4 linked regions of the Tamandua tetradactyla genome follow. The protein of the gene in region 1 interacts with the protein of each later gene in a biochemical or structural test. Links are inferred from orthologs where the notes say so. Each region holds a gene or a part of one and is shown in the gene's direction. Other genes may lie near its edges.

Region 1 (7,778 bases):
TATAACTGATTGCTGTGATGTGCTTTGAAATGCTTTTTTTTAATCTATGTCATTTTTCACAATAAAAAAATAATAGGTACGGGTAATTCCTAATTTCCTCCTCTTCATTGTTCACTGTTTTCCTGGGTGTTAGCTCTTCCCTAGGAGCTCTGATACACTGGCCCTGCTCCGGTCACACTTTCACACAAATATAAGCCCTGGAACAGGCAGAATCCTGTCTGGTTTGAGTCTCACAGCTCCCTCTCCTAGCAGAATTAAGGAGATTAATGGCCAAAACACAAACAACAGGAGGGTTTTGTGAGATAGTAGCAAAGGGACTGAATGATTTGAAACATAGATAATTGGTCCAAAAATAATTGGAGTTTTAGAAAAGTATAAATGCATTTATTTTGTATAAGCCTGATGGGGTACTTACTCCTTCCCATTTCTTTCCTGGCCTGCTTTTTCTGATGGCTATAAATTATAGTACAATTATTTATTGACTGAATATATAGAGGTATCTTAGTGACATATGATAAATTTTTTTTAGGCTTCAATAACAAAATTTATTAAAGATAAATCAAAATACACTACATAACAAGAGTTCAAGAAAACCAAAGTGCAATTTTAAAAGTTCTTACTTCAACAAACTCAAGGCTTATCAATCACTACCAAAAATTCTATTTCCTTTAAGCTCTAAGAAAAACTTTATCTATATTGAAAGTCTTTGGGTCTTAAGGCCATAGATGAACTCCCACCAAGTTAACAGCAACTTAGATGTTAATATTGTAATACAAACTCCTCCCATTGCCTGGTATACCTGAGACCTGTCAACAACCTTTACCAGGAACCCTTCCACTTAATTTATCTACTAATTATCTAGCAACCTCCTCTCCTAAAAAACAGTATATTTTGACCCTTCAAGTAGTTGCAGGTAAGATTATAGCCTTTTAATTAAAACCTCCAACTGCTTAATTAATACTTATTAAAGTCAGGGCTACAAAAGACCTTTACTATTTTTCTTTTTTATTTCACATGTGTAAAGCATGGCTTCAACCTGGAGGTGGTTTCTTTCTAAACAGAGAACTCATTTTACTAGTTAATTTATTATCTTATTCTCTTAACTTCTATATGATACTTAAAATCTTTTTTAACCAGAATTTACCCTATTATAATTGCAATCTATTTTATGAACACACAACTTTTTAAAATAATTAAACATTTTAGATAATATAAATGCAGCTTTAACACAAAATTCTTTAGAAGCAGGCTTACAGAAGTTGTTGGTTTTTCTGGGGTAGTACATGGGTTTGTTTTAAATATATTAAAAGGTAGAACAATCAATTAACTATACAGTGCTCTTACAAAGTTACAGCAAATATGTTCACTTAATGACTTTTTCCCTCTTTAAGGAATTTTTTTAAAGCAAGAATTTTATAAACCAAACTAAATTACATTTCCTTGCTCAGTTATCTATCAATTCTATTATCTAAAACAGATTCCAAGCTATTCCACAGTAAAGAACTACACCAAGCTAAAGAAAGAAATGCTTTAAATTTTTGTACTATTCTAAAACTTATTTTTTTCTATGGTCTATAAAACATGAATCTGTTTTTATATTTTCTTTTTTGTGTGTGCTTTTTTAAATAAATCAGTAAGTAATATAGGATCAGCACTATGTTTGCTAGACCTGGCATTTACTCACTACAGAAGGTTCAAAGTTTCCTGTCCTTTTAAAATCTATTTTATATTTTGCAAAGGTTTTTTTCAACAATATTTAACTTAAAACTTTTCAACAACATTTAAGTACTTTTCAAGAAAGCACAAGTTACTTTTCGTGGTCCCTGACCAATTTTAATCGGTGGGAACACCAGTGGTACTGTCACCTCCTTTCTGGGGACTCTTTAGCTTGGTAGGCTTGTAGTATAGCTATAGCCTCATCAACCTGAGCACAGTCTCTGGAGACTCAAGCATGTGAAGAAGCTCTGAATTATCAATCTCCAACAACATGCCAGTAATCTCACCAGCAAGGGCAGGACGCATGGCTTCCCTAAGGATAAAGAGCCTTTCACCCAACATCTGCTTTTGCTGTTGAGGAGGAGCAGATGCCAACCTGGAAGCAGTCAGAGGTTCCTGACCTTGAGCATGAATAGCAGGTTGCTGCACAGTAACTCGTGGCGTTGCTTGAAGATGTTCCGGGTTGCGAACTCCCGCCTCATATCGGTAACGTGGAACCGTGCGAATGGCCGGAGGAGGTGCAGCAGCAGCAGCCCCGCCACAGGGTACGGGTACATCGGAGGCACTGCCGCAGTGGCGGCACGTAGGGTTGCGAGGACTCCTGGGATCTGTGGAGGAACTGGTCGCGTGGCGCTAAATGGTGGTGGAGGAATGGCTGGGCACACAGCGCCAGAAGTACTTGGGAATAGATGAGGCCCGGCACCCCAGCAGCCCAGCAAGGATTTGGTCTTATCTGGGCAACTGCATTAGGCGGGTAGTATGCGGCGCGGTTCTGAGGCTGTGGGGTGGGCGCCATGAAGAAACGCGAGGGCGGTGCTGGCAGGGACGGGCCGCGGGGTGGGCGCCATGAAGAAACGCAAGGGCACCATGAAGAAACGCGAGGGCGGTGCTGGCAGGGACGGGCCGCGGGGTGGGCGCCATAAAGAAACGCAAGGGCGCCATGAAGAAACGCGAGGGCGGTGCTGGCGGGGACGGGCCGCGGGGTGGGCGCCATGAAGAAACGCGAGGGCGGTGCTGGCGGGGACGGGCTGCGGGGTGGGCGCCATGAAGAAACGCGAGGGCGCCATGAAGAAACGCGAGGGCGCCATGAAGAAACGCGAGGGCGGTGCTGGCGGGGACGGGGCGCGGGGTGGGCGCCATGAAGAAACGTGAAGGTGGTGCTGGCTGGCAGGGATGGGGCACGGGGTGGGCGCCATGAAGAAACGCCAGGGCGGTGCTGGCGGGGACGGGGCGCGGGGTGGGCGCCATGAAGAAACGTGAAGGTGGTGCTGGCTGGCAGGGATGGGGCACGGGGTGGGCGCCATGAAGAAACGCGAGGGCGGTGCTGGCGGGGACGGGGCGCGGGGTGGGCACCATGAAGAAACGCGAAGGTGGTGCTGGCGGGGACGGGGCGCGGGGTGGGCGCCATGAAGAAACGCGAGGGCGGTGCTGGCTGGGACGGGGCGCGGGGTGAGCGCCATGAAGAAACGCGAGGGCGGTGCTGGCGGGGACGGGGAGCGGGGTGGGCGCCATGAAGAAACGCAAGGGCGCCATGAAGAAACGCCAGGGCGCCATGAAGAAACGCGAGGGCGGTGCTGGCGGGGACGGGGAGCGGGGTGGGCGCCATGAAGAAACGCGAGGGCGCCATGAAAAAACGCGAGGGCAGTGCCGGCAGGGACGGGGCGCGGGGTGGGCGCCATGAAGAAACGCGAGGGCGCCATGAAGAAACGCGAGGGCGGTGCTGGCGGGGACGGGGCGCGGGGTGGGCGCCATGAAGAAACGTGAAGGTGGTGCTGGCTGGCAGGGATGGGGCACGGGGTGGGCGCCATGAAGAAACGCGAGGGCGGTGCTGGCGGGGACGGGGCGCGGGGTGGGCGCCATGAAGAAACGCGAGGGCGGTGCTGGCGGGGACCGAGCGCGGGGTGGGCGCCATGAAGAAACGCCAGGGCGGTGCTGGCGGGGACGGGGCGCGGGGTGGGCGCCATGAAGAAACGTGAAGGTGGTGCTGGCTGGCAGGGATGGGGCACGGGGTGGGCGCCATGAAGAAACGCGAGGGCGGTGCTGGCGGGGACGGGGCGCGGGGTGGGCGCCATGAAGAAACGCGAGGGCGGTGCTGGCTGGGACGGGGCGCGGGGTGAGCGCCATGAAGAAACGCGAGGGCGGTGCTGGCGGGGACGGGGAGCGGGGTGGGCGCCATGAAGAAACTCGAGGGCGGTGCTGGCTGGGACGGGGCGCGGGGTGAGCGCCATGAAGAAACGCGAGGGCGGTGCTGGCTGGGACGGGGCGCGGGGTGAGCGCCATGAAGAAACGCGAGGGCGGTGCTGGCGGGGACGGGGAGCGGGGTGGGCGCCATGAAGAAACGCGAGGGCGCCATGAAAAAACGCGAGGGCAGTGCCGGCAGGGACGGGGCGCGGGGTGGGCGCCATGAAGAAACGCGAGGGCTCCATGAAGAAACGTGAGGGTGGTGCTGGCTGGCGGGGATGGAGCATCGGGTGGGCGCGCCTCTCACGGCTGCCATTCTCTGCGTGTGCTGGTCCGTGAGGAGGGCCTGGCACTCTTCTTCGCACAGAGCTAAAGCTACATACAACGGCTTGGTGGCCACAAGTCCACCATTCATTTCGGAAACCGCTTTAGTGGCCTCTTCTGGGGTGGAGAAACACACAAACCAAACCCTTTGCTGCGACCACAGTCCATCATGGCCTGTGCACTAGTGATCGCACCAAACGGAGAAAACTCTTTCCCGAGACGCTCATCATCAATACGGTCATCAAGACTTTTCACATAAAGGTTAACAACCTGGTATCTGGTGATCCTGTCCTGCTTCATCTGCTCAAATCTACACTTAAGTTCTGTCTGCCATTCTACTTCTTTCTGAGGGCGCCCAACATGAATGTGTCTTCCACTGACCTCCTTTCCATTCATCTCATCCACAGCTCTCTGTGCATCTTCATGCCTCTCAAAGCTCACAAACCCAAAACGTTCGGATTTTCCACTTTCATCAGTCATTACCTTCACACTTACGACACGCCCAAACTTGGCAAAGAGAAGCCTAAGGTGCTCACTATTCACTTCTTCACCAAAATTCTTGGTGTAAACGTTGGTGAACTCTTTCGCCCTAGTTCCAACTTCGGCTTCGCGCTCTTTAACAGACTTAAATCGCCCAACAGACACTTCGCGATCATTCAGAAGCATCCCATTCATTTTCCCAAAAGCTTTCTCTGCGGCTTCCTGTGTCTCAAAACGCACAAAGCCATAGCCCTTGGAGCCATTTCCATCACAAACCACCTTACACGAAAGGATGTTGCCAAAAGCAGAAAACATATCGTACAGCGCTTTGTTATCAATACATCTGTCCAAGTGTTTAATGAATGTGTTACCCACCCCACTTTTACGAAGAGATGGGTCACGCTGAGCCCACAGGAGGCGAACCGGCTTCCCCTTTATAACATCGGAATTCCTGGTCTCCAGCGCACGCGCCGCATCCCCCGACGGCTGGAAGTTCACACGCGTGGCCCGAGGAACGGCGGGTGACCACGTCCCCGCAGACCCGAATGGACAGCATGGGCCCTACCGTACTGAGCTTCTCGTACAGCGTCGCCTCAGTAACGTCGGGGTGCAGCTCCCCCACATACGGCGAAGCCATGGGGTAGTTGGAAGCACTGGGATTCATCTCGACACAAACGGTTCTCGGCACCACAGGCCGCGACAAACGGTTCTCCATGACAGTTTTTCTAAATGGCCTCAGAGAATACTGAGGAAATAGAAGGAAATACGGGGATATATTCCAGGTACTTAATGTACAAAGCAAGGAGCAGCATAGATCCTGAGACAGTCTGGCTTATTAACACCGAAATGGGACCTACAAATACTTTTTGAGTTAGCAAGGAATTTTTTTCTTTAATTTATATAGTTTATGTGGCATGGTGGTATGAAAGAGCGTTGCGTTGAGAAGCAGGGAACTTGGGATTTAGTCCTAGCTTTGGCAATAACTGTGATTTTGCATTTACTTTTTTTTTTTTTTGCGCGTGCAGGCACCGGGAATCGAACCCGGGTCTCCAGCATGGCAGATGAGAACTCTGCCAGTGAGCCACGGTGGCCCACTCTGGATTTACTTTTCTAACCTCTGCACTAACTCAATTCAGTGACAGTTTTAATGTGATTCTGGCCACACCTGGCCACATGGCCACCCCTGGAGCTGAAGGTGAGCTCAGCCCTCTCCTTACTTACCCCATAGACCAGGAGTCAGGGAGAATTCCCTAAAGAAAATTCCATGAGATGGGCTGTTCCAAACAGGGAAATGACTTCTGAGCAGGCAAGTTACTTTAGCTGTAAAACGAGGAGGTTGGTCTAAAAAGTTCTATTCTAAACTGTCTAGATTAGGCTTCACAGGATTGTAAATAAATGCATTATTATCTGAGTTAAAGTCTAGAGAATCTGCCGCCTTCTCCTTGACTTCTAATTTGTGATGTCCATTCCTTGTGGCTGTAGGGCAATTTCAGGAGTTCAGACTGGGAGTTGTAAGGCAGGTTCCTGAGTGGATTTCCTGTTTTTGTGAGTTGTCTGTGTATGCTTCCTGCAGAGGGACTGTTTTATTAATAGCAACAAACGCCCTGAAACAACAGACTTCTTTGACCCTATCACCATTTTTATCTTTGGAAAAGTTATGATGTGTTACTGGGTATGAAGAATAGTTTATTCTTCAAATGGGCAGTGGAGAAACTGAATTTCTTTTTACTCGGGCCCTGGCGAGTCCAGTGCTCCCACAAGTTTAAAGTTTTCACAGCATATCTTATTTGAAAATTACGGGTAGGGTATCTGGAAAAAGTATCAAAGGAATGCACAAACACTTTTTTTTTTTAATTACAGAAATTGTAGGTTTACAGAAAAATCATGCAGAAAATACAGAGTTGCCATATACCACAGCCCCACCCCCACAGTTTTCCCTATTATTAATATTTTGCATTCGTGGGATACATTTGGTATAATTGATGAACCAATATTTTACATTTATATTATTAAGCAAAGTCCATAGTTTACATTAGGGTTCACAATGTGATACATTTGTTACAGTCGGCAAAAGAATATTAATATAATTGTCACTGTATTAATTCACTATGGCTCATGGTTTACATTAGTGTCCATTGTTTATGTTGTATAGTACTATAGCTTTTTTAAAATTTTTATTCTAGTAACATATATACTGCCTAAAATGTCCCCCCTTTAACCACATTTAAATATATATTTCAATGCAGCTAATTACATTCACAATGTTATACTATATAAACAGACCTTGAGTATAACTTTGTCTCAATACCTACTTTCTCTCCAATCTGAACTTCAATGACTATTTTTAATGGAACTGGCCCTGGAATGGTAATCCCAGAAGGTCCTTTAAATTATATAATTACACAGGATAATATATAATAAAAAGCTTCCTGCTCTATAAGTCTAACATCAAATTTGCCTATATATTACCTCAATTAGCAAACTGGCTACTTTATCTCAGAAGATTGTTGGACTGATGAAAATGACATAATGCATGTAAAATACTTGGCACAATGTCTGGCACAGACTAAGTGGTCATAAATATTAGCTATTACTACTATCTGTAAAAAGAATATAATACCTATCACAGAAGGTTATTGTGAGGATCAAAAGGCATGATATTTATAAAGTATTTAACACTATGTTTGGCACATAGGAAGCATTTAGAAATAGTTCCTGCTGCTGCTATCAGAAGAAACTTGTAGATGTTTTCAAGGAATAATAGTATTTCCAAAATCAGTAACTAGCAGTATTTACCATGTTCATGTATGAAAAAAATCTTCTGATTAGAAGATCAGTTTTTTTGCTATCTAAAACCTATTTTGAGTCAGTGTGGTAGTGTTATGGTTAATTAAATATTAAACATTTTATTGTGAAAAGCATATCCAAGACTTGCCATCCAGCAGCTATTCCACCTTGGACAAATTCTTAAAAGCCATCATTTCCTCATCTTTGAAAGGGCTATAATAATATTTATCTTTCATACCTCACATGATTATAATAAAAGACCATATGAGACTGGATTGATTAAAGGACTT
Region 2 (7,895 bases), on another chromosome or scaffold:
AGCTGTAGGGAGGTGGCTCGGGGCGGGGCGGCGTCGGGGCGGGGCTCTCCCCTGACCCCCAACCCCTGATCCCCCGCCAGGTACCTGGTGACCACCCTGATGGGCGCCGACCTGAACAACATCGTCAAGTGTCAGGCACTGAGTGACGAGCACGTGCAGTTCCTCGTGTACCAGCTGCTGCGCGGGCTTAAGGTGCCGCCGGGGTGCTGGTGTGCGGCCCTGGGGCGCGGGGCCCCTGCGGAGCGGGGGTGTATGGGACGGGGTTGGGCCGCGGTCCGCCCGGGGAGGTCGACGCAGTCGTGATTTCCCCCCTCCCCGCAGTACATCCACTCGGCCGGCATCATCCATCGGGTAGGTGTGGGGTGCAGCTCTGGGCCCTGGTCCGGTCGGCGTGGACCCCGTGCTCGGCTTGCCTCATAGCCGTACCTCCATGCAGGACCTGAAGCCCAGCAACGTGGCGGTGAACGAGGACTGCGAGCTCAGGGTGAGGGGCGTGTGTGCGGGCGGGGCGGGTGAGGAGGGCAGGTGCTGAACCGTCCCTGTGGCCTGCCCAGATCCTGGACTTCGGGCTCGCCCGCCAGGCGGATGAGGAGATGACTGGCTATGTGGCCACGCGCTGGTACCGGGCCCCAGAAATCATGCTCAACTGGATGCACTACAACCAGACAGGTGGCCGTGGGGCCTGCGTGGGGCATCCATGTCCTGTGGGGGCCATGGCCTGGGGAGGGTGGCCATGCACCCCAGGGGGTCCTTCCCGGTGATGGGGTGAGGCAGGGCTGGGGTCAGCATGCACAAACAGACCTACAGGGGGCCCTCTGCGTTGAGGGGGGAGGCTCCAGTGGGCCTTCCCACACCAGGTTGAGCCCCATTGTGGGTGAGGGTCACCGGGCTGCCGCCCCGGGAGGAGGGGGGCCAAGACTGATGGCAGCCTGTGCCCTGACCCCCACAGTCGACATCTGGTCGGTGGGCTGCATCATGGCCGAGCTGCTGCAGGGAAAGGCCCTCTTTCCAGGAAACGACTGTATCCTTGGCCCCGCAGGGGTTGGGGGGTGTTGGAGCCAGGACCTCCCAGTTGTGGGTGGGCAGGGCGACAGGCAGTCTCAGGCCCTCCCTGTCTGGCTGTTCCCCCTGGCTCATTGGCCGGGGAGAGGAGCAGGCTCTGGGCAGCACCCATGGCTTCTGCCCTGGGGGGCTTGGGCAGGCCCCTGCTGGCCAGTGGGTGTTTCCTGAGCCGAGGCAGACATCGACCAGCTAAAACGCATCATGGAGGTGGTGGGGACCCCCAGCCCCGAGGTTCTGGCCAAGATATCCTCGGAACACGTGAGTGGGTGCCCCCTCCCCCCCCGCCCTCTGCGGACTAAGGCCCCGGGCACTCTGGGGGACACCATGGGAAGCAGGCTCTGTATGGGGAGTGCAGGGCACTGCCAGAGGAGCCAAGGCAGGTGCCCTGCCCCTTTAAGGGATACGGCAGGGCAGGGGACACAGCGAGGGCACAGTCCTGACACTGGTAGCAGTGGTTTGGCCAGGGGCAGTGGGGTGGAGGAGGGGACAGGAGGGTTAGGTGAGGGGCTACGGTCAGAGGGGTTAAGGGGCAGGTCTCTGGCTGCCCCTGTGCCAGCCAGGGCTGGGTAGTGCCTGGGTCTGGGGTCTTCTCTGGAGTCCCTGCTCTGTCCGGGGCCTGCGGTAGAGGGTGTGTGGTCCCCTCAGGCCCTCCCCCATGTGCCCCCAGGCCCGGACATACATCCAGTCCCTGCCCTCCATGCCCCAGAAGGACCTCGGGAGCCTCTTCCACGGAGCCAACCCCCTGGGTGAGGATGGACCGGGACTGGGTGGGGCCCTCCACTGGCCGGAGGCGGGGCTGACCCTCCCGCGGCCCACAGCTGTGGACCTCCTGGGAAGGATGCTGGTGCTGGACAGTGAGCAGCGGCTCAGCGCGGCCGAGGCCCTGGCCCATGCCTACTTCAGCCAGTACCACGACCCCGAGGATGAGCCTGAGGCCGAACCCTACGATGAGAGCGCGGAGGCTGCTGAGCGCTCAGTGGAAGAGTGGAAGGGTGCGCAGGGGTGGAGGCTGGGACAGGCAGAGCTGGGCAGCGAGGGGAGCAGGCACCGCACTGGGCCTAGACTGGGCCGTCTGTGCTGATCCTTTCCCCATTGCCCCCCAGAGCTCACCTACCAGGAAGTCCTCAGCTTCAAACCCCCAGACCCCCCACAGCCACCCAAGAGCCTGGAGATTGAGCAGTAAGGGGAGCCCACCTGCCACCTCCACACTGCTAGAGGGGCCTAAGCCTGCACCCTGCTCATCCTGGGACTCTGTGACGGGTGCCACCCTGCAGCCCTGGCCCAGCAGCCCACATACCTGGCCTGGGGCCTACTTGCCTGCTCACCGTGCCCAGGGGGTCCTGCACACACATGTGTCGGCAACAAGTATGTGCCCGTGTCCTTCACCCCCGCCCCCAGCCATCTGGGTCTCCCTCTGGATTTCACAATGGGGGATTTGCATACCATGGGGCTGCCCCCCAGGCTGGTGTCTGTCTGTGCCCTGTTCTCTGTGTACAGTGGGAGTTCGCCAGGACCCCCTGGACTCAAAGGGATGGTTCCAGGGATCAGAGCTGCTCAGGCCAAAGGGGGTCTGCCCCGGGAGTGCTGAGACCACCTGTGCCCCCCAGGCTGGGCAGGGTTTCCCTGGTGGCTGGCCAGGCTGGGACACTACAGGCTTCACGTCAGAAAAGCTGGGGCCCGTGTGTTCACCTGTGCTGTCTGGGCACATGTGAATCTGTGGGTGCTAGGAGCCCATGACCAGGAAGAGGCCAGAGTTGGGTTGCTCTGCACCTCCCCACATGCTGGGTACCCATGAAGGGCTCCTTGGGCCGAGGGCACCCACTTGAGCAGATGCCAGGGCTTTCCTTTGTGGGTGCATAGAACCACAGCAGATTGCTGAGCAAGGGAGCATTGCAGCCAAGGAGCTGAGGCAAGGGAGGGCCCGTATCTGTGCTGCAATCTCAAGCCACCAGGTTGGGCAGAGCACACAGGTGCACACATGGACGTGACCTTCACATGAATGCCCCGGCCCATGGACTTTGGACAGAGCTGATGAAGAAGCCTTGCCGGCCCTCTACCTCCCCTACCCTCATGGCCCTTCAGCTGGGGTTCTGGGGTCGCCTTGTCCCCCTCCTCCCACAATAGAACTGACCGAGCATCCTCTGTGGGTAGGCCCCTGCCTGGAGACTGGGTGGTAACCTCCTACCCTGGGGGTACCTAGGGGGGACTGGATGTGAAGTGCCTGTACACAGGGGCGCTCAATAAAGGGCTTCCCTCATGCCCCACCAGTGTCCGACATGCTAGGCCCCCTGCCTTTGCTGTCTCCACCTCTGGGGGGCTCACCATGGGCTGCACCCACCCTGGCCTGGCCCACAGGATACCAGGCAGTCATGCAGCCTGGTGAGAGAACAGCTGGGGCACCGCTAGAGGCAAATGCTTCCTCTCCTGGGGGCCAGGCCTTTCCCTTCTGGCTAATGCAGACTCCGGGGGGTGGGGGTGGTGTAGAGAAAAGAAGGCTGCTTTCAACCTTGAACTCTGCAGGCCACTCTCACCTGAGCCTACTCCCACTGCTTTTTGCAGCTCCCACCTGGGGGGCTGTAGGCAGGATCCTATAGGCCTAGGCACCAAGGCTGCAGGGCTTTAGGTACCTGGGAAGCTCTAGAGACATGGCTGGCCAAGGCCAGTAGGGGTGGGGCGGGGGAAGGGGCCCTGGTCTGAAGGAGCAAGGGCCCCTATGAGTGCTGGAACCCTGGGCTCCACCCCAGGGAGTAAGCCAGGGGGGCTTCCTGGAGGCAGAGTACCCCACTCAGCCCAGGGCATGGGGTGCAGGTGGCTTTGTGGGTGGCATGTGCCATGCTCCTGGCTGGGCTGGCTGTGGGCTGCTCTTGCCATCAGCTGGCTGTGCATGTGCCAGGGTCACCGACCCCAAGGCCAGGTGTAAAGCTGGTCTGGCCATGCCCAAGGCTGCTGAGCTGCTGATTCACGGTTGGCAGGCGGGGCCCCAAAAGGCAGGGAAGGGGGCACTTGGGATCCTGCCACCCACCACCAATCAGCTTTGAGGGGACCCCCAGGCTCCATCCTCAGGAGCACCCAGACCCATGACAGGACTATGCCTACACTGAGAGGTCAGGGCCTGAGAGGCCCCCCACCCCTGGGGCTTGGGCAAGCCTTCAGGGAGGGAGAGAAGCCAGGTTGGACAGATAGGACAAGCAGGGGGCAGGTGTGTGTGGGGGGAGCAGGCAAAGGGACTAACAGTGGCCTTGGGATGGGGGAAGAGGTGGAGGGAGGAGTGGGAGCCAGGGTGCAGAAGGGCCGAGGGGGGATGGGAGGCTTGGGGACAGGGGTTGAAGGATGGACACTGGGGTGGCCACCTGAGAAGTCTGGGAGACAGAACCAATCCCGCATATGTTAGGGGGGCTGCAGGCAAGACCTAATCGCAGATGGGTGGACCCGCCTGGGGGTAGGGCATCCTAGGGGGTGCGGTGGAGACCCCCTGCCAGGAGATTCAGGGTGGGGGTAGGGGGCTGGGTCTGGGAGGCTCAGGACAGTGACCAGGAGTTGGGGACAGAAGTTGGGCAGCATAGGCCCGGCGGCGCACTGGGTGTGGGCAGTAAAGAGGAGACCAGAGCGCTGCGGCCCCTGGGGACCCGGGCATCCGGGGCGCCAGCCCAGTGCGGAGCCAGCGGCTTTCCGAGTGTCCCGCCGCGCCGCCTCCTCGCGGGGCCGGGGCTGGGCCATCCCCCATCGCCTCGGGTTTCCGCAGGGCGGGCCGTCACGTGCGCCGGGCCCCGGGGCGGGTTGGTCGCGGGCCGGGGTGGGGCAGCGCGGCAGGAGCCGGGCAGGGGTCGGGCCGGAGTCGGCGGTGCGGGAGCCCGGAGGGCGGCGACCCCAAAGGGGACAGCAGAGGGCCGCCGGGCCCCGGTTCCGGGAGCGCGGCGCCCGGCGTCCGGGCAGCGATGACCTCCCCGCCGCCCACCCGCAAGGGCTTTTACCGCCAGGAGGTGACCAAGACCGAGTGGGAGGTGCGCGCCGAGTACCGCGACCTGCAGCCCGTGGGCTCCGGCGCCTATGGCGCGGTGTGGTGAGCGCGGGCGCGGCGCGGGGCGGGGCGGGGGCGAGAGGCCCGGCCGAGGCTGAGCCGCCCACCCCGCAGCTCGGCCGTGGACAGCCGCACCGGCGCCAGGGTGGCCATCAAGAAGCTGTACCGGCCCTTCCAGTCGGAGCTGTTCGCCAAGCGCGCCTACCGCGAGCTGCGCCTCCTCAAGCACATGCGCCACGAGAACGTGAGTCGGGGGGGTCGCACCCGGCCCCGCCCAGCTCGCCCCGCCCCCCGGAGTGCCGCCTGCGGGAAGGCCGGCCCTCCCCCCGGCCTTCCTGTGGGGTGGGTGTAGGTGGGGGCCCAGGAGACATTGGCAGACTAGGGACCTTTCTGGCGTACACCGTTTTCCCCCACGCCTAGGCCTCCTTGTTTGGGGTAGAGCCTGCATGGATTCCCTTTCGCGGCAGCCCCCTGCCACCGCCGCTGTGACGGGTCTGGGCTCAGTTGGCCTTCCAGGTTTGCCCCCAAATCCTGCCTCCATTCCGGGAACCGTGGTGAGAGGAGTTGGGCACAGCACTTTTCCTGGAAGGGCCCCCCAGACTTCCCTTCAGCCTCCCCAGGCCCCTCTGTTCCGCCTGCCTCATAGTTCCTCCTTCTCCAAGTGGGACTGCACCTGTCCCAGCCCCCTGCAGAGCCTGGGGTCCCACTCAGGAGGGGCGCCCAGGATGCTGGCCAGGGCAGGGGTTGGGGTGCCTCCTCCTCACCCAGTCCAGGGTTTCATGGACAGGGTGGGGGGTGGACAGGTCCGGACTCCCCAGGGAAACCCCCCCACACCCCTGCCTTAAGTTCCGGGCTGAGAGCTGAGCACTGTGAGCTTTGGCTGGTCGCTATGTACATCAGTGCACCTGGGCCCTTGGTTCTGGCCACTGCCCGCTCTCCAGCCAAATACTTGTTCTCTGGGACTTCTGTCTCCACCCTGTGCCCTGGGGCACTCAGCCTCTGCCCTGAGCCACATCTGGGACGTGATCTTCATGGGGGCTGCCTCCCCCCCCCCCCCCCCCCCGTCCGTGAAACCCTGGGCTGGGTGAGGAGGAGGCACCCTAACTCCTGTCCTGGCCAGCTTCACCAGCACCCTTCCCGACCCGACTCGGACTCTCCGTTCGGCCCCTCCCAGGCCGGCACAGTGGACATGCCATCCACTGAGCCAGCAATCCCACCAGCCCTTTGGGCACCTGGCCCTCTCCCTAGGGCATCCTTCCCATAGCCGCGCAGCCCACCTGCTCTGTTCTACTCGCCTACAACCCCCTCCCTCCCTGCTGCTTGCTCTGTGTGGACCAAGGGGGCCTTTGTGGGCTCTGGGCTCCCCTCCCCCCAGGCCCTCCTCAGCTGGAACCCTCGATGGCTGCACATCTAGGTCTGCAGCCTCCAGCGGTCTCAAAGTCCCCTCTGGGACTCCTGCACTGGAGGTGGTCCCTTTCTGACAGCCCCCAGCACACCAGAGACCTAGCATTCCACCCTCCCCCCCCCACACTGGACCTGGCGGCTGCGGGGTCACTGTCTACACCTGCCTCATGTGGTCTATCCTGCACAGTGGCCTGAGGAGGTGGTGAGGGTCCCGCCCCTGCTTAAGGGCTTTCCAGGGCCACTTTTAGGGTTACCTGGACTGGAGGTCCTCCCTGCTCCTGACCCAGCCACCTGCCTCCCCTGTGTTACTCTAGCACATGGCAGGCTCCCCAGGGCCCGCTGGGCCTCTGCACCCCACCTGCCCTGCAACCTTGGTAGGCACCATCCTCACGAGCAGGCCGCCCTGGCCCCAGGTTACCTGTCTTCCATCGCCTCCCCAACCAGGGGCCCCGTGGGGCCGGCGGGCTGTGGGTCTCAGCCTGGGGAAGGACTGCAGTGCTCACAACCTGAGGGCTGCCCCACCCTGGGTCCCAGTGTCCATGGGCAGAGCAAGAAGGGGAGGCAGGACCAAGGGCTGACCCTGTTGTGCTTGGCCTGGAGCCAGCCAGACTTGACTTTCCCACCCCCACCCCCACCCCCGCACATCCCGGCTGTCACCATCCAGAAATAGCCCGAGGCTGTGGGCACGTGTGTCCCGGCCGGGGCTGCTTGGTGAGTGGGCAGTGTGGGGAGACAGGGACAGTGCGGGGGGTCCGGCCTGGAGCCAGTGCCAGCGGGGTAGAGGTGGGGAAGGGATTGGGTTGGGGAGCACCACGCCACAGCCCCTGCTGTCCACACACCTCAGTCCCCCTGCCCACCCCTCTTCCCCCAGGTAATCGGCCTGCTGGATGTGTTTACTCCTGATGAGACCCTGGATGACTTCACAGACTTGTGCGTGGCCAGCCAGGGGCTGGGCAGGGCTGGAGGGGTGTTGGGGAATCCCCTGGCATCACTTGGGGTGCTGGATTGGATAGGGACCCTGGCTCAAGGCAGGGACTGCTGCCAGCCCCCTCTCCCTGCAGTCCTGATGCACCCTCACCATCCATTCTGCCAGTGCCTCCCTAAAGCTTGGCCAGGCTTCCCAGGGCTGCTGGCACCCAGGCACTCCCCAGCACCCATGGTGTGGGCCTTGGCCTAGCACATGTGTTAACAGGCAGGCCCCGTGCTCAGGGCCCTGGTGCCAAGAGCCTGGCCCGAAATTGGAGCTGCTGACCTTTCTGGTGGGCAGGGAGGGGGCAGCAGGGAGGCCCCGTCTGCCTGGCCCGCTCCCCCAGGGCTCTCAGCCACAAGCCAGGGCTGGGCCCAGGAGGGCTCGGGAGGGCAGCAGATGGCAGGGTACAGGCAGGTCCCTGTGACCTGGCCCTGCAGGGCT
Region 3 (7,847 bases), on another chromosome or scaffold:
CCAGCCCACCCACCTCACCTCCCCAGTGGAATCTTGGGAGTCGCCTCCTCTGAACCCCCCCCCCCCCGAGTCATGGTCCTTGGTAGATGGAATTGGGGGATGCAGGAGATACCCCTGCACTGCTGGGACCCCACTGGCCCCACCCAGCCCTCATGTCCCCCCAGCGGCACCCTCCACACACCCACCTTGGTCAGACCCACGGCCCCCCCCACCTCCCTGAGCTCTCCCCACCCCAGCAGGAAAGCCCTCCGTCCCCAGCGGTGTTTCCTTCCACTCTTCCCTTTTGTGTGTGAGGGCGCATGACCATTTCCAGGCACCACGTCGCTAGTTTGTGACCTTTCCCTGCTTGGGTTTGGGGTCCTGGGACCTCCTTATTGCTCGACGAGGTCGCCGCTTCCTTTCAGGGGATCACTTCTGCTGGACGTTACGAATATTTGGATCCCAGTTTGCCAGATGGCTGTGCATTTTCTTTATGGCTTTTTCCCGCCAGTTTTGACGCGGAAACCACACACTGCGTGTGCCCTCCATATGTCCGGGGCCGTCCAGAAATTCCCAACTCTTCCAAAGCCAGAGCGGGCGCCCTTTCCTTGGCCCTCTCCTGCGCTGAGCAGTGGCAGGGAGTGACCCCTGGTACCTCTGCTCCCTGAGAACTGAGACACTGCACCCCCCCCCCCACCCCGGCTCTCCAGGCCTCTTCCCCTCACCCCCGGCCTGGCCCGGCCCTGGCCGTGACTTGCCCAGGTGCTCTTGTTAAAGCTCTGGCCTCAATCTGGCTGCAGAAGGGGTGACAGGGTGAAAGTGGGGGCGCTGGAGAAGCCAGCAGGCAGGCGGGGGAAGCGGGTTTGCACAGGCATCTCCCACGGAGTTGGGGGGGGGGGCCTGGCACTTCCAAGTCCTGCTGGCACCATTTGCTCCCCATTGAGTTGGGGTGCAGGGGCAAAGGGCATTGGTGGAGTGGGGGAGGCACCAGCTGGCCACGGGGTCCCCTGCCCTTCTCGGGGTCTGCCCGTCGCTGGAGAGAGGGGTCCGGCCTGCGGTCGCCTCCCGCCTGCCTCCCCCACCGCCAGCCTGACCCTAAGGAAATGCCTCTAATTCCTGAACCGAGTTTGGACTCAGGCCCCATAATTTGATTTTCCAGAGTGGGGTTTGGCGTGGTCTCCTCCCGGGGAGGAATGTCTCGGTCGGCAAGAAGATGTCAAAAGTCGGTTTCGGTTTCAGGGGAAGGATTGGTCTCCCCCTACCCACAAGTTGCTCTGTCCGTGTTCTCGCTTTTCCTGGTGGAGGTGGGAGCCGTGGGTGTACCCCAAGGGCTGGGGGCCCGGCCTGCCTCCCCCCAGGGCAGTGCCTCAGACCCTGGCCTTGCCCCCCTGCCTTCCCCACATCCATTCACCCGTCCACCAGCCAGCCCCCTCCCTCCCAGCCCCTCATTCTTTCTCCAACCTGCCTTTCACTCACTCATCTGTTCCCCCAGCCAGCCAGCCTCTCACCCACCTACTACCCTGTCCACCCACCCACCCATCCATCCATGCCTCTGTCAATGCATGCACCCTCTCATCTATCCACTTTTTCCCAACCCATCCATCTATACTCCCAACCATCCATCCATCCCTCCACCTATCTGTCCACCTGCCCACCCATCCACATTCCCCCAACCATCCATCCACCCATCCATTCACCCACCCATCCATCCACCATCCCCAAACATCCATATTTCCACAACCATCCATCCACCCATCCATTCACCCACCCATCCATCCACCATCCCCAAACATCCGTATTCCCACAACCATCCATCCATACACCAACCTATCCATTCACCCATCCACCCATCCATCCACTCACCCATCCATCCACCATCCCCATCCATCTACTTACCCACTTACCCTGTCCATCCACCCAACCATCCAACCATGCCTCCACCCACCCACACGCCCTCCCATCCATCCACATTCCCCCACCCATTCATTCCCCCACCCATCCATCCATCCATTCACCTACCCATCCACCCACCTACCTTGCCCATCCACCCACCCGTCCAACCATGCCCTCATCAATGTATACACCTTCCCATCCATCCACATCCCCCAAATCATGCATCCATATCCCCACCCATCCATTCATGCACATACCCAGCCATCCATCCATTCACCCACCCATCCACCTACTTTCCCACTTACCCTGTCCATCCACCCACCTACCCATCCAGTCATGCCCTTATCAACCTATATAGCCTCCCATCCATCCACATTCCCCCAACCATCCATCTATACCCCTCATCCATCTGCCCACCCACTCACTGATCCATGTACCCATCCATCTATCCACTGTCACCCATCCATCCATCACCCATCCACCCATCCACCCACCCACCCACCATTTACCCACCTACCCACCCATTCACCTATCCACCCACCTATCCACCCACCCACACATCCATTCACTCATGCAATCTTGCCTTCTAGCCTTCCACTTCTCTGTCCATCTGCCAATCATCCACCCATCATCTACATGTCTGTTCTCCCATTCTATCCCACCACTCATTCATCCACCCTCCTCTTGTCCAACCATCCACCCACTTGTCTGCCACCTGCTTATCTGGCCATCTGCCCTCCCACCCTCACCCCCGCCCCATCCTCCTGTCAGGCCGCAGGCCTCAGGCAGCCTACTCACCTCCTGTGCTCTTCTCCTGCTCCCTTGCCCAAAAGGGCTCAGAGTGGGTGGGCAGGAGGCTCTTGGCCCAGGGCTGGATGCCCAGTGGGAGCAGAATCTGGCTTGTTTCTGCAACTGGGTTATCATTTGTATTTTGGGGTTCTGTTTTTTTCAGGGCTTAACCCCAGCCCTGTCACTCCCAGCCCTGCCTCCCCCACCCCCACTTCAGCTTCCCATTCATGTTTTCTGGCTTGGACACTGGCCTGATGACATGGCCCTGGGGTAGGGTCATTCCTGGGCTGCCCATCACCCACTCCTAAACCTCATCAGGCCTCAAATTTCTCCTCATTCAGTGGGGAACTTTCACACTACACTCCCAAGCATACTGGTTTGGGGTTCACTGGGTCTGTAAGCAACAGAAAATCCCAGGTAAACAAAAGAGAAGTTTACTTGTCTCTAACCCCAAGAGGCCCAACGCTGGTGCTCCTCTGTGTCAGGCTGAGCCCACCCTCCTATCTTTCTGCTCCATAGCACAGGGCTTTGCTTTCGAGGTCTTCTCATGATCCAGCATGGCTGCCTGAACTCCAGCCATTTTACCTGCATTCCAGCCAGTGGGAAGGAGGAGGGGCAGCTCAATGGCATGCCCTTGCCCTCAGCCCTTCCATCCATCCGCAGAAAGGCCACAGGACTGGGTGCTGTGGTTGGATGCTGGGCTCTCGCATGGTGACCGCGTCCATCTCGGCAGCTGTCACTGCGTGTGGGGACAGGGAGGGTCTGCACCAGGAAGCCTTGTCTTAATGAGCCGAATCAACCACCAAAAGCAAACGTGGTTCAACCTGGCCAGTCCCATGCTGGGAGGGCCCTGACACCACTGGCCAGAGCAAAGGGCAAGGGTCTGTCCTACAGGGGGGGGACCCTTGTGACTGAGTGGCAGCCTCTGCTGGGAAGGCATCCCAGATGTCTTGCACCCATCTTAATTTACACTCGTTTTGCCAGCCACGCATCACATATTTGTTGTTTTGATACCAAAATAGCATTGGAGTTGCCATGAGAAAAAGCCACTGTGCTGGGGGAGTGGGCCTGGCCACCCCCACCCCGTGTCCCCCAGGGGCTGCTTGCTCCCAAAGCTGCTGCCAGTGGTCTCAGCCTCCCCACCCCATGGGTAGACTCGGGGGGGCCACCTTGAGGCTGTGGCAGCGGACATGGGGGTCTCTGGCCGTTCTGCAAGTGGCTGCCATGGCACCCTACCCCTGAGCTGGACCCTTCTTGCTGTGGCTGCACAATTCCAGGCCCCTGGCCAAGCCCCGGCAGACCGAGGGCCCCTGCTGCATATGCCTCTGGGATCCCCAGCAGGGCACAGCAGGGGGCTTGGCTGGGAGATTAGGTGAAGGCTGGGGGCTGTGGCCACACCTGGCTCTCCTGGGGACTGGGGAACAGGGAGGGTGATAGCATCAGGCCGGACGAGAATGCATGTCTCCCTGGCCCCCCAGGATGCTTACACTTTGGAAGGGGGGTGTCTGATGCAGTAAAGAATATCAGGTGGGCCTGGGTGGACCCCGGTGGCCTGACCTCTCCTGCCTGCCGCATGTGCACAGGGCCTCCTCTCCACCCTCGTGTGGTGCCTGCTCCGTGTGTCCTGTCACCCTGGGCCTCCCAGAGGCCCCATCTGGAGCTCTGCAGCCCCCGCCCAGGCTGTGGCATCCCTTCTTCGCCCTGTAGGAGTTGGGTTCCTTCTTGCGGCTGTGCCTGACTTAGCTGCTGCTTCCGGCAAGGTCACCACGGCAGTTATTGTTGTGTGACAGGTGCTGGGAAATGGGGCTGTGTCTGGGGCCCACGCCGGCCTCTTGCCCTCGCTGGGCCTCAGTTTCCCCAGCTGTCATAGTGGGGCTGGAGTCTGCACGGGTGCTGCTGGGGGCTGGGCTGGGAGACGGCCCCAGGCAGTACTGGGCACAGCACCACACAGACAGCACCCAGCTATGTGCCTCACCCCACCCCACCCCACCCTGGCCACTGCCCCCCCCCCCCCCCCCCCGCCTCCCCGGCATCCACAGCACTAATCGCTTCTCAGTGCTGAGCTCTGCATACTTGTGCCGGGCAGCCAGGGAGCGGGAGGGTGAGGAAAAGTGCTGGCGCGTTGCTGTAGCTGCCAGGACCGGCCACCCACTCTCCCCCTGCCCCCCGCCACACCCCCAGGGGCTGCAGAGCAGGGCGGGGCTAGAATGGGGAAAACTGGAACCTTGCTGTGTCCCGGCCCTCCAGCTGTCCTGCCGACCCGTCCTGAAGGCCAGGACACGCTACTTGGGGCCCTGCAAGGGGGCCACTGCCAAGCACAGGTATGCCAAGCCCCATGAAGCCCGGCTTGTAGTTGGTTTTCGCTGTGTCATGTGGAACAGACACACCACTCCCAGCCTGCCTGGCTGCAAAAGGAGGTCATGCTGCAGGGTCCCAGGCTCTCACCTTACCTGGCCGCACCTGTTCTGTCTGCACCCACTGTGCACCTGCGGGAGCCTCAGCAGCCGGCCCTGGGAGATAGGCTAGGGTGGCCTGTGAAACTGGGGTGAGTGCGCAGGCGCTGTGGGCAGAGGAGGGCTTAGGAGGCTGTGAGCACTCAGGCCTATGGCCTCTCTTGGCCCTTCCCGGGGAGGCTCCCAGATGCCTGGGGTGGTTCCACCAGTTCTGGCAGGAAGGGTAGAAGCTGAGGTCAAAGGCTGGTGCCCTGCAGGGAGTGAGTCTGTGCTTCCGGTCAGCCTGGATTGATGGCTCTTAATTGAAAATTTAATTAGTGCAGCTTCTCTCAAGAGAGCAGGAGGCTCAGATGCTTGGAGCAGTCATCAGTTCTCAGGGTGGGGGTAGGTAGGTGGCACTGCTCCCTCTGACCTCGCCCTTTCTTCGCCTACAGCCGGTGGGCACCCTAGTCATGGAGGACGGCAATGTGCACTCTGCAGCCAGCATCCTGGCCTCGGTGAAGGAGCAGGAGGCACGCTTCGAGCGGTTGACGCAGGCGCTGGAGCAGGAGCGGCGCCATGTGGCACTGCAGCTGGAGTGTACCCAGCCACCCAGTGTGGGCAGTGGAGGCGTGGGCGGCGGGCAGCCCCTGCCGATGGCCTGGCAAAAGCTAGTCCTGCAGGTAAAAGCCCAGTGTGCCTTGGGAAGGGGGGAAACGGCCAGGTGGAAAAATGATCACGGGGTCCTAGTGGACCACCAGCCAGCGTGCAATGGCTTATTGCAAGACCTGCTAATGCTTCAGGGGAAGCTAGGAAAGTTGGATCCCCAGGGGACTGGAAGTTCCATTTGTGTTTGTGGGATTGCATATGTGGGGCACTGTCCCTCAGAATAGCACCTTTTCCTTGCATGAGCTTCAGGTGCCTGGATAGGGCCTGTTCTAGGCAACTCAGTGGTCAGACACTGAGGCTTTTGCCTGTCCTGGAGTCTTTCTGCCATGTGGGCCTTGATGCACCTGTGGATCAGCCCCAGCGGAAGGCTCTGGCAGGCTCTGGGATCTGCCTGTAGCTCAGAGGATGACCTGGGAGCCTCAGTTTCCTCTACTGACCACTGCCCCCAGATCAGGCTCACGGCCCTGCTCATCTGGCATTTGGAGTGACTGTTACCGAGACATGAGGCCAAGGGGTTGTCTGGGTGGCACTGGCCCAGGAGCCAGGGTACGGGGAGGGTCCCTGGATGGGGTCCTGCCTCCCACTGTGGCTGTCCCACCTCACCACCCAGCAGTCTGCTGTGCCCATGCAGCTCCTTGCCGAGCACTCCGAGCAGCTCCCCAGCCGGCCCACAGTTTCCCTGCTCTGTTCCCTGGGCAGCAGGCAGCAGCATTGCCCCCACCCCCCAAAGCAGCTGGTCTTTTTCCTGTTTGGGCATGTGAGCCCTTCCCTGGCTCTGACGGCCCCCGACTCTGGCAGAAGGGTAGGCTGCCGGCTAGCCACGCCACACCTGGCCCAAACGCACTGGGGGCAGCTGGGGGCTAGCCTCAGTGCAGCCGGATGTGGGGGCTCAGAGCTTCGTGGGGGCACCTGGGCCTAGAGGGCCTTGATGGGCTGGGAGTGGGTCTCTGCACACTATGTCCACGTCAGCTGCCCAGCTCAGCCCGGTATGTGTTGGAGCTGATCCATGTCCACCAGTCTCCAGGGGACCCCCAGTGTTCTATCCCCAGCCCCTCCACTCTGGGAGGCCACTGGAGGAGCCACCCAGGCGGTCCACAGGAGGCTGGGGCTTGAACCAGGGTAGAACTAGTGGGGAAGGCTATACCCTCTGTGCCCCTAGACTCTCGGAACTCCAAAGCGTGAAGCATGCACCCCCAAACTTGGGCGGTGTGTATGAAGGAAGAACAGCCTGGCTGCGCCGTATGGGGTCAGTGGTGGCCAGTGACCCTGGGCCCGCCAATCAGGCGCCAGGATGCTCCATCTGGCCAGAAGCAGCTGCAGCCCACGGTCCTCAGATGGGCCACGTGGGAGGCTGGGACACTGCAGAGGAGAGGTTCCCACAGCTTGGGGCTGTGCCTCGTGACCTTGGGCCACGGCCCCACCCTGTCCGCTGGCCCTCCCCTCCCCTCCCTGCCTTGGGTTTCTGGCTCTTGGGAGGAGATGGTTTTCTCGGGCAGGGATTGGGGTGAGTGTGGGTTCCCAGGGCTCCAGCTGGACTGGCCGGGCTGATGGGGACACGGGGAGTGGGGAGGGGGGAACGGGGCCGGGGGTAGGCCCTGCAGCTGCAACAGCAAATCTGTTTCCCAGGTCAACCCCAGTAGAGGGTGCCTGGGGCTGGACCGTGGGGTCAGGGTCTGGGGTCTCAGACCCTCTGGGCTGGGGGTCAAGGCCAGAAAGCCAGGGGTGGAGGCTACAGCTGCTGCGCCACCCTGGGCTGCCCCCCGTCCTGGTTTCCTCCAGCGGGAAAGGCCCCCTTCTCCAGGTGGGAGGATGTACCTGGGGCTGGCCTTCGCCCAAGAGGGTGCAGAGGGACACTGTCCCATGGTGACGTCTGGAAGACGCTGGAAACAGATCATGCCATGTCATCAGGGTCTCCTTCCCTCAGGGCAGGGGGCCCGTCTTCTTGCTCCCTGTCCCACGTAGTGCCACATGGGGCTGCCAGGACAAAAGACACCAGAAGCCAGCAGTGGGGAAACCGAAGCTCAGGGGGCCATGGTGGGCACCCAAGGCATTTGAGCCTGCCGGCTGTGTGGCCTGTGTGCATGG
Region 4 (7,756 bases), on another chromosome or scaffold:
AATGATATTAGAGAGATTTTGTCTTTGTTTTGTTTTGCCCTTAGAAAAATTACTTCATCTTCAATGGAGAAGATGAATAGAAAGAGGGACAAACTAGAGTCAGGGACAGCTGTTGGAGGTTACTGCAGCATAGAAGCCCAGATGTCTCAGCCTGGACTAAGGCAGTAGGGATGGAGAAGGGACAGATTTAAGAGCTTTTGGGAGGTACAATTGACTTGACTTTGGTGCTTTTTAAGATGCGAGAAGAAAGACGGTGACAGTGAGGTGAAATAGTTAAGCAAGGATAACTTCCCATAGTCTTTGAGTGGACGATGATATCATTAACTGATATAAGAAATAAAGGGTGGGGGGGGGGAGATGTAAGAGGAAGGTAAGATACTTGGTTTTGGATTTATTTGCAGAATGTCCTGCTCATTGGTGTGCTGGTAAATGTTAACAACTGGCTTTCAAAAATAAGGACAGTCCCTGATTTGTAGTGCTTATGGGTTTCCTTGGCGATTTCAAGCTAGCCAGGTCTAGGTCACCTACTGCAGATTTAGGAAGAGATCTGTACAATCAGTTCTCCTGAACTGGTTGGGGCCAGCTCCGGCACACGGCTGGGTCCTGCTGGAGCCACCTCCACGTGTTAGGAAGAACAATTCTGGAGCTCCACAAGAATGGAGGGCTGGAAACACAGGTTTTAAATGGCTCCAAGAGAGCAGCTAATATTGTTGGGGACGGGGATGAGGGTGGAGTAATGGGGACAGCGTGTAGAAATGTGAAGAGAAACCAATATCAGGAAATACACAGTAAAAGAAGAGTCAAGAAAAGAGCATTAAAGAGGCAGGAGAATCAGATTCATGAAATATAAGAGAAGAACTAGTTTCAAGAAGGAAGGTGGGGCCAATTCCATCAAATACCAGAGATCACTTTTCTCTGTATTTTTCTACATTTAAAAGATATTTCACACGTGCAATAATTTGTACAACAGTTTATTCCTTAGTATGTCTTTAAGGACAAATGTTTTTTTTCTATATAGTTCCTTACCTTAATAAATATGTAACTTAAATTTAAACATACCTGTTTTATGTATTTGTAAACTACAAAGTAAAAAAAATTAAAAAAGATTTTTAATTTAAAAGATTAAACACATAAACATCTTTTTTTCCTTTCTTTCTATCCTTCCCTTTCTCTCATTCTTTCTTTCTCTCATTCTCTCTCTCTCTCTCTTTCTTGTGCATGCTTTCTCTGTTTCTTTCTTTTTTTATTTTAAAAGGACGTCATTAATGAATTTGGACAAAACAGACTGAGCGTGGTGGGGGCACGAATTTGATTGCAATGGACTGGGGAGTGAATGAGATGGAGTAAGCAGGGGTTAAATCTTTCAAGCAGTTTGTCTCCTAAAGAAGGAGAGCTTGAAAAGAAGTAGATTGGGAGGGTGGCTTTTAAAAAGAATTATAAGTCACTGACCCACTAGTAATTCAGGGGACTAGATCTGTCTATGACCCAGGCTAACTTGTTCATGCCAGTGACAAGCAGAACATCTTACCCAAATCTAAAAGTGGTAATTGCTTTCAATCTATTGCTTTCATGTCAGTAGGAGTCACCTTAGTACAGAAGGGGATTGCATAGGTCCAGTTAAACGGAATTGAATTGCAGGTATTGGGGGCTTTTGCTGTGCATGACCTATTCTACAAGTAATGGTGTGTGTTTTTATTTGAATATTGATTGATGAATTGCTTCTGTGCCTAACCATGCACTGGAATTAAGCTGACCCAAATATGAACTGTAGATCCTTTTATTCTTCTTTATATATGAAAGTTGAACTACCTTCTTTTATTAAAAATTTTTTTTTGAGATATCTCTCATTCTCCAGGAATTCTCCAAGATTCCAGATATTAGGTCTTCAAATTCAGCTTGAAAGGTTATTTTTAGAATACTTTCTTCTTTATTCTTCATCATTTTCCTGTAATACTCTATTGTTTTTCAGTTTCCAGGAACCAAACAGTGTACATAACAACCAGAAAACACAGGCATACTGCAAATTATTTATATTTTAAACAATGTGCATATGTACATTTACACAAACAAATTAACAGATGTCATTTATCAAAGCAACCTCCAAGCAAAGCCTTTTACGGAATCCCTAACTTAAACATCTCCATGAAGCTTCTCTGCAACTCCATGACCTCCAGTAGGGTCTTCAAGGCCACAGCTGCCCGAAGGTTGATTCTGTAATTAGAAGATGCCACGGTTGTCTCAGAATAGAATCTCAAGCCACCTAGGCTACAATTATGGAATCAACTTCTTTAGAGAAAAGGCAAGGAGGAAGGGCTTTCCTTCTCATTTGGGAAGGGTCACCTAAAGTGAGGCTTCAGTGATGGGTGTTGGTGTCAGTGGGAACTGACAGACTTGGAGGAAAACTCAGTTCAGTATGCTCAGGAGCAAATCAGCCGATGACCTTCCAGGATTGGAGGGGAGAGAACGCACACCTGAAAACCTCTTTCTCAAGTGGCACATTCTCCAAGGCTTTCATGTTTGGAATGTAGTACTCTTGTCATATGAAGCTGTTGCACTTGGAAAGTGTGGGTTTGGGGTCAGGAGACATCTGTCCGCATGTAACCTGGCCAAATTCCTTCCTTTCTTTGAAGGCTTGGTCTCTTCTGAGGCCATAGACTTAGGTATTTGGAATTAATAGCTGTCTCCTTTCTGTTCGGCTCACCTTCTTTCTCCCAGTATCCCATGGGATTTACTGTAACCCTTTCTCCATTACATATGAGGTCATAACAACAAACATATGACCTTATTAGGGTTCTCTTAGGAGCCAGAGCCTTCAAAATCCCAAAAGAATGATTTTGGTGGTAGGATTTTAAGCACTGTGATAGATGTGGGTGGGGGCAAAGGAGATAGGAGGTGGAAGTAGAAGTGGGGGTGGGTGCAGTACACAGAGACTTAATCATATCCTAAAGTCACCCTAAAATCATGATAGGAGCCTTCCTCTATATAGACGGTCAGGCAGATTCCTCTTAACTTTTGGCTAGCCCTGGAGTTTTAAGTTTGGTGTGGGAAAAACTTTAAAGACTATGGCTGGTACCTGAAATGACAGTAACAGTCAGCTAATAACACCTTCTGGGTTTACAGTGCCATTTTTTCAAGCAGCTCCAAGGTTTCCATAAAACTCATCTTCAGAACACTCTGTGGGGCAGAGTACGTGCACCTTCTCTCCATTTTCAAGATGAAGAAATGGAGGCAAAATTCATTACCTAAGCAGCTGGCCATATGGTTCAGACAAATTTAACCCCAGAGTCCAGTCTCTGGACCAGGGCTGGACCAGGGCAGGAGGGGCAGTTGTCCTGGGCCCTGGGGCTAGAAGAATACAAGGCTCTGGTCTTCCTCAAACTGCATCCCTTCTTCCTCCACACGGCCCTGAGGCCATGCCATCTGGAGTTCTGAGTATCTGGGACCCCAGAATTCCATGCCGTAAGGCCCCCCAATTATACCTCCATGCCCGCGAGGTCCTCTTCACTGGGCTGTCCTGAATGTGACAAAACCCCTGATGTATGTTCCTGCCCATCAACCTCTGGGGCTCCTGGAAGGGGGGTGTCTTGTCTACCTATGTGCAGAGAAGACGTTTCTGGGTAGGAAGAGAAGATATTTATTTTACAACTTGCTGACTTGATTTATGACTTGACTTGAGACATAAGGCATGTGGGGTCCCTTTGTATCCACTGACCTCTTGCTCCTGGAGTAACTATATAATTTTACAGGACTGATTCTCTAGCTGCACTCACCAAATCTAAACTAGCTGAAACCTAAGCCCCATGGATTTATCACAGGGACTTTACCAATACCAGGAAAATAAAAACGGGGCTGGCCCACGTTGTTCCCGGTTTCACACATCTCCTTTCCTTTCAGTTACCAATAGACAGTGCAAAGGGCTCTTTACTGGCTCTTGCCAGGGACCCGGGGAGCCAGGGCGAGGCTCTCAAAGACAGTGAACGGGTCGTCTATCGAATGCAGAATGCCGAAGTCAAGATTTGAGATGGAAAACCAAAGCAGCAGTCCCCAGGGCTGGCCAGGTCCTCAGGGCTGGCCACCTTCCTGCCCCAAACCCCGTCCGCTCCACCCCGGGCCTCGGGAAGGAAAGAAAGACCACAGTGTTGGCTTCCTGCTGGGTTTCAGCCTCTTGCCCTCTCTCCCACAATCCCTCCGACTGAGTAGTAAACTAACAAAGGGAAGAGAAAAAAAAATTGCGGGCAACGCAAGTTTAGAGGAAGCGATTTCCACCAGTGCTGTTGTCTGCCCAGAACGTGGACTGGAATCTCGGGCGCAGCTCCAGGCCCCGCTTTTCCCGCTTTTGCTCTGGGCTGGCAGACCGGGGCGGGGGCTGGGGACACGAACCCTGGTTCTGGAGCTGCCGGCACCCCTTTCCCAACCCCGGCCCTGTCCGGATCCGAAGGACCGCGCCTGTTTAAGGGGCGGACCGCGGCTCCACGTGCTTTGTGCTGAGTGACTGAACTACATAAACAGAGTCCGGGAAGGGGGCGGGGAGGAGGGAGAGAACAGGCTTTGACCGATAGTAACCCCTGCGCTCAGCTCTGCCGAATCTATAAAAGGAACTAGTCGCGGCAAAACCCCGGTAATTCCGAGGGAGAGTGAGTGGGGCCGCGACCTGCCGTACCGAGCCGATACATCTCAACCTCAGCGCGGGTGGCCGGGGCGGGGGGTGTCGCAGGACCCTCGCCGCTCGAGCCAATTTCGCAGGGCGGTTTGCTGCTTGTTTTTGTTCTTCTACACGTCCCCTCCCCCAGAAGGGTTTGCCAAAGGGTGGGGGAAAAAGTCGCAGACAGAAAAGTGGAAACCAGGTAAGAGCCTCTCCCGTGACTAGGGCGTAATTGTTTTGTTTTGTTTCCCCGGCCGAGGAGGCTTTGGGAAGTGCCGGGTTTCCGAGACTCGGGCCGGTATCCCTTGATCCCCCTATCCCTTGCAACGCAAATGGGGTGGGGGCTGGCGTAAACGGGAAGGGGACTTCCTACGATTAGAGATCCTTGAATGCGTCGCTGCTACGCTCGGGGCTCGCGGGTCCGCGGAGTAAGCCGAGCATCTTTGGGCGTGGAGAGCCGGAGCGCAATGCTTCGGGCGCAGGGAGTTAGGGGGCTCCTGCGCGTGCTGGGGCGCCGCTGCAGGGGTGGGGAGAGTGGCAGGTCCGGCACAAAACCTTCCCTTTGTTCCGGAGCTCCCGAGCGTGCTGGAAACCCCTCTGGCTGCGGGTCGACCCGCGCCCACCGGGACAAATGCCAGCTCTTAGTTCCTGGCCGCATCCTTGAGAAGCTGGTCTGAGTTGGACTCTGACTAGGGGATCGTCTCTGTGCGTCCCCAGACTGGAGTAGCATGTCCTTGTTCTCCAAGAACTCGAGCCGGAGGTGTCCTGAACGGGATATCTTGCGCAGTTGATGGCTTGAGGCTGCAGGGTCTTTGTTTTGGCCTCGGGGTCCTGCTTACAATTCCTGTGCGCGCACCCGAGCTGGTGTCCCTAGTGCAGCGGGGGGACGGGTTTTGTTCCTTTGAGAAAAAAAGAAGAAGAAGAAGAAGAAGAAGAAAAAAAGACATAAAGCGAAGGGGAGCCTGCGGAAACCCGGAGCTGGGGTGCCCGTTCCTCACGCCCCTCCAATCTTCTAGCCCTTTACTGCTCGTCTCTTGGGGCAGCCTCAGGCCCGGCACGAATGGGGAAGCTGGGGTAAGACTGTGCAGCAGAATGACCGAGAGTAACCCCTGCCGGCGGCGCGGAACTCGGCGGCGGGGGTGGTGGCGCGGGCGGCGGGCGGTCCCGGGGGACTGGCCCGCAGCGTCTCCTGGCCGGGCGGCCTGGGAATCGGCCTCGTGGCCGGAGTACGCCCGGCGGTTCCCACCAGGATCCTGTGAGGATGGAACTGGGAGAAAACCCAGGGGTTTCGGGTTAGAGCCGGTCTGATTGTTTTTCGTTCGCGTGTTTCCCGACTCTCAGAACGGTGCTAAATCAAAGAGTGTTCCTAGGGCGTCGGCTAGTGCCAGGGTTGTGTGTAGGGGTCTGTTTTACTCAACACTTATCAGAAAGATTGAAATAAAATAGATCTTGAAAGAAAGAAAAAAGGAAGGACGAACGGGAAAGAGCAAAGTGGTTCTGAAAGTAATGTGTCCTTTTTTGCAGCAGTGATACCGCAACTTTTAAAACCCAGTAAGACTTTCCAAGGACACCTCACAAAGTGAGTGGGTGAAACTTGCAATCATATAATAGAAGACAAATGTGATATTAAAAAAAACTTCTTTGGTGATGAAAAACAGAGTCACTACCTCTTTTGCCCATCCCCCCCACACCTCGCAAGGCACAACACAAAAATTTCTCCAAGGAATGGGTATTGGGTGGATATAGAGTGTAAATGAAATTAATGGAAAAAAAAAGTGTTCCTAAGTTCAGAAACAGGGATTTTACTGGTTCTTTTAACAATAATTTGGGACCCAAACCTAAGTTTTGATCTGCTTTTCAAACAAAACTTAAATGCCAACTAATAAAGGCACTTAATATCTCATTTCATTTATTCTTTTATTTCATCCTATGTTTCTTACACCTACTCCAAAAATGATGGAGGCTTTCGGTGGTTCATATGACTCTCTTGAGAAACTTCTCAATCAAAGTAAGGGTGAGCACATGTGTAGAACCTCTTTTGGTTGTGTGTGTCAGGGGTGGAGTGTAATAAATTTCAAGCATAAAGTTTCCGTTGTCAGTCTGTTTCCTAAGTTTTCCCATAAAACCATCTAAATAATTCATGATAGGGTTTTTGGGAAAATGTCGGCTATACAGAGCAAATTGGTATTTATTAGAGAACAAGCAGTAGAATCAGGACTAGGGAAAAGGGTCTCCAGCTTTCATCATGACCATGTCAGTTTAAGGGACCAGATGACGTATCTTGGTGTGACCAGGTCTGAGATCTGAGTGGCTCACCTGCAGATGAGCATTTGAAATCTCAGTCTTTATAAGTGTTTCAATTTACATCTAAGTGCAGGCTGGTAATGGACCCTCAACACATTTTGACTTAAAGCATATTTATAGTTTATGTGGGACAGCGCATTAGTCTAGAACTGGAAAAGGATTGCTGTGTTCAGTCTTTGCTCAAGGAAGTCCGAGTGCAAACTTTATTAAAAATGAATGAAAATGAATGAAACTCTGCTACTCAGCTTTTTTATTATCTTCGGTAGTACTTACCTTTTATGGAGAGGAGTTAAAATATCTCTCCACTTAATTTTCTTTTTTTTAGGAATCCTCCCAGGCTGTGCTACTTTCCTAGCGATAGCGAATCGTTAATATCTTTGCTGTTTCAATTTTTAGCTCTTAAAATAATTGAAGGGACATTGTCCTAGGTTCTTTTTAATTGTGAACCTTTTGGATATCTAGAAAATACCAATGGGTAGGTGTGTTTTGTCTTTCTAAAATACTCATAAATCCAGATGCATTTTAATTTACCTTCTAGATATTAAAGAAGTAAGGAAGTGTAATGCTTCTGATGGCCAATTACTCCAGCATCAATTCTTAAAAGAGCTTTCTGAACACTCATTTTATTTAACCATGATGGGAGAAGTCCTAAACTAAAAACTGAGATCATTTTCATCTCTGCCTATGGAAATAAACATAAATGCTGAAGTTACTGCCATTTTCAATTTAATAGATGCTTATATAGCACTGTGGGCCAAGTATGGGAATTCACTTATTCCCATTTTACAGATTAAGGCACTGAGGGTGTGA

The links.
Region 2: the proteins of ERBIN (region 1) and MAPK12 interact in a test that uses a peptide from one of them, tested with the Homo sapiens proteins (2 studies listed by BioGRID and IntAct). The link is inferred for Tamandua tetradactyla from reciprocal best matches to the Homo sapiens genes ERBIN and MAPK12.
Region 3: the proteins of ERBIN (region 1) and ARVCF interact in a test that uses a peptide from one of them, tested with the Homo sapiens proteins (3 studies listed by BioGRID and IntAct, with this or other methods). The link is inferred for Tamandua tetradactyla from reciprocal best matches to the Homo sapiens genes ERBIN and ARVCF.
Region 4: the proteins of ERBIN (region 1) and ABCA1 interact in a test that uses a peptide from one of them, tested with the Homo sapiens proteins (2 studies listed by BioGRID and IntAct). The link is inferred for Tamandua tetradactyla from reciprocal best matches to the Homo sapiens genes ERBIN and ABCA1.

The regions. Positions count from the first base shown.
Region 1 is NC_135335.1:113,753,438-113,761,215, forward strand, and holds the start of ERBIN (erbin), read left to right. Parts: upstream 1-4,766; 5' UTR 4,767-5,483; intron 5,484-7,778. UniProt on the Homo sapiens protein: Acts as an adapter for the receptor ERBB2, in epithelia. By binding the unphosphorylated 'Tyr-1248' of receptor ERBB2, it may contribute to stabilize this unphosphorylated state.
Region 2 is NC_135333.1:45,615,186-45,623,080, reverse strand, and holds the start of MAPK12 (mitogen-activated protein kinase 12), read left to right. Parts: upstream 1-4,848; 5' UTR 4,849-4,997; coding exon 4,998-5,122; intron 5,123-5,194; coding exon 5,195-5,324; intron 5,325-7,355; coding exon 7,356-7,414; intron 7,415-7,895. Other genes in the region: MAPK11 (mitogen-activated protein kinase 11), read left to right, coding at 81-192, 322-351, 437-484, 555-669, 950-1,021, 1,241-1,320, 1,881-2,054, 2,166-2,774. UniProt on the Homo sapiens protein: Serine/threonine kinase which acts as an essential component of the MAP kinase signal transduction pathway.
Region 3 is NC_135331.1:28,345,623-28,353,469, reverse strand, and holds the start of ARVCF (splicing regulator ARVCF), read left to right. Parts: upstream 1-4,788; 5' UTR 4,789-4,868; coding exon 4,869-4,982; intron 4,983-5,548; coding exon 5,549-5,776; intron 5,777-7,847. UniProt on the Homo sapiens protein: Contributes to the regulation of alternative splicing of pre-mRNAs.
Region 4 is NC_135328.1:23,873,576-23,881,331, reverse strand, and holds the start of ABCA1 (phospholipid-transporting ATPase ABCA1), read left to right. Parts: upstream 1-4,536; 5' UTR 4,537-4,618; exon of another isoform or gene 4,619-5,055; intron 5,056-7,756. UniProt on the Homo sapiens protein: Catalyzes the translocation of specific phospholipids from the cytoplasmic to the extracellular/lumenal leaflet of membrane coupled to the hydrolysis of ATP.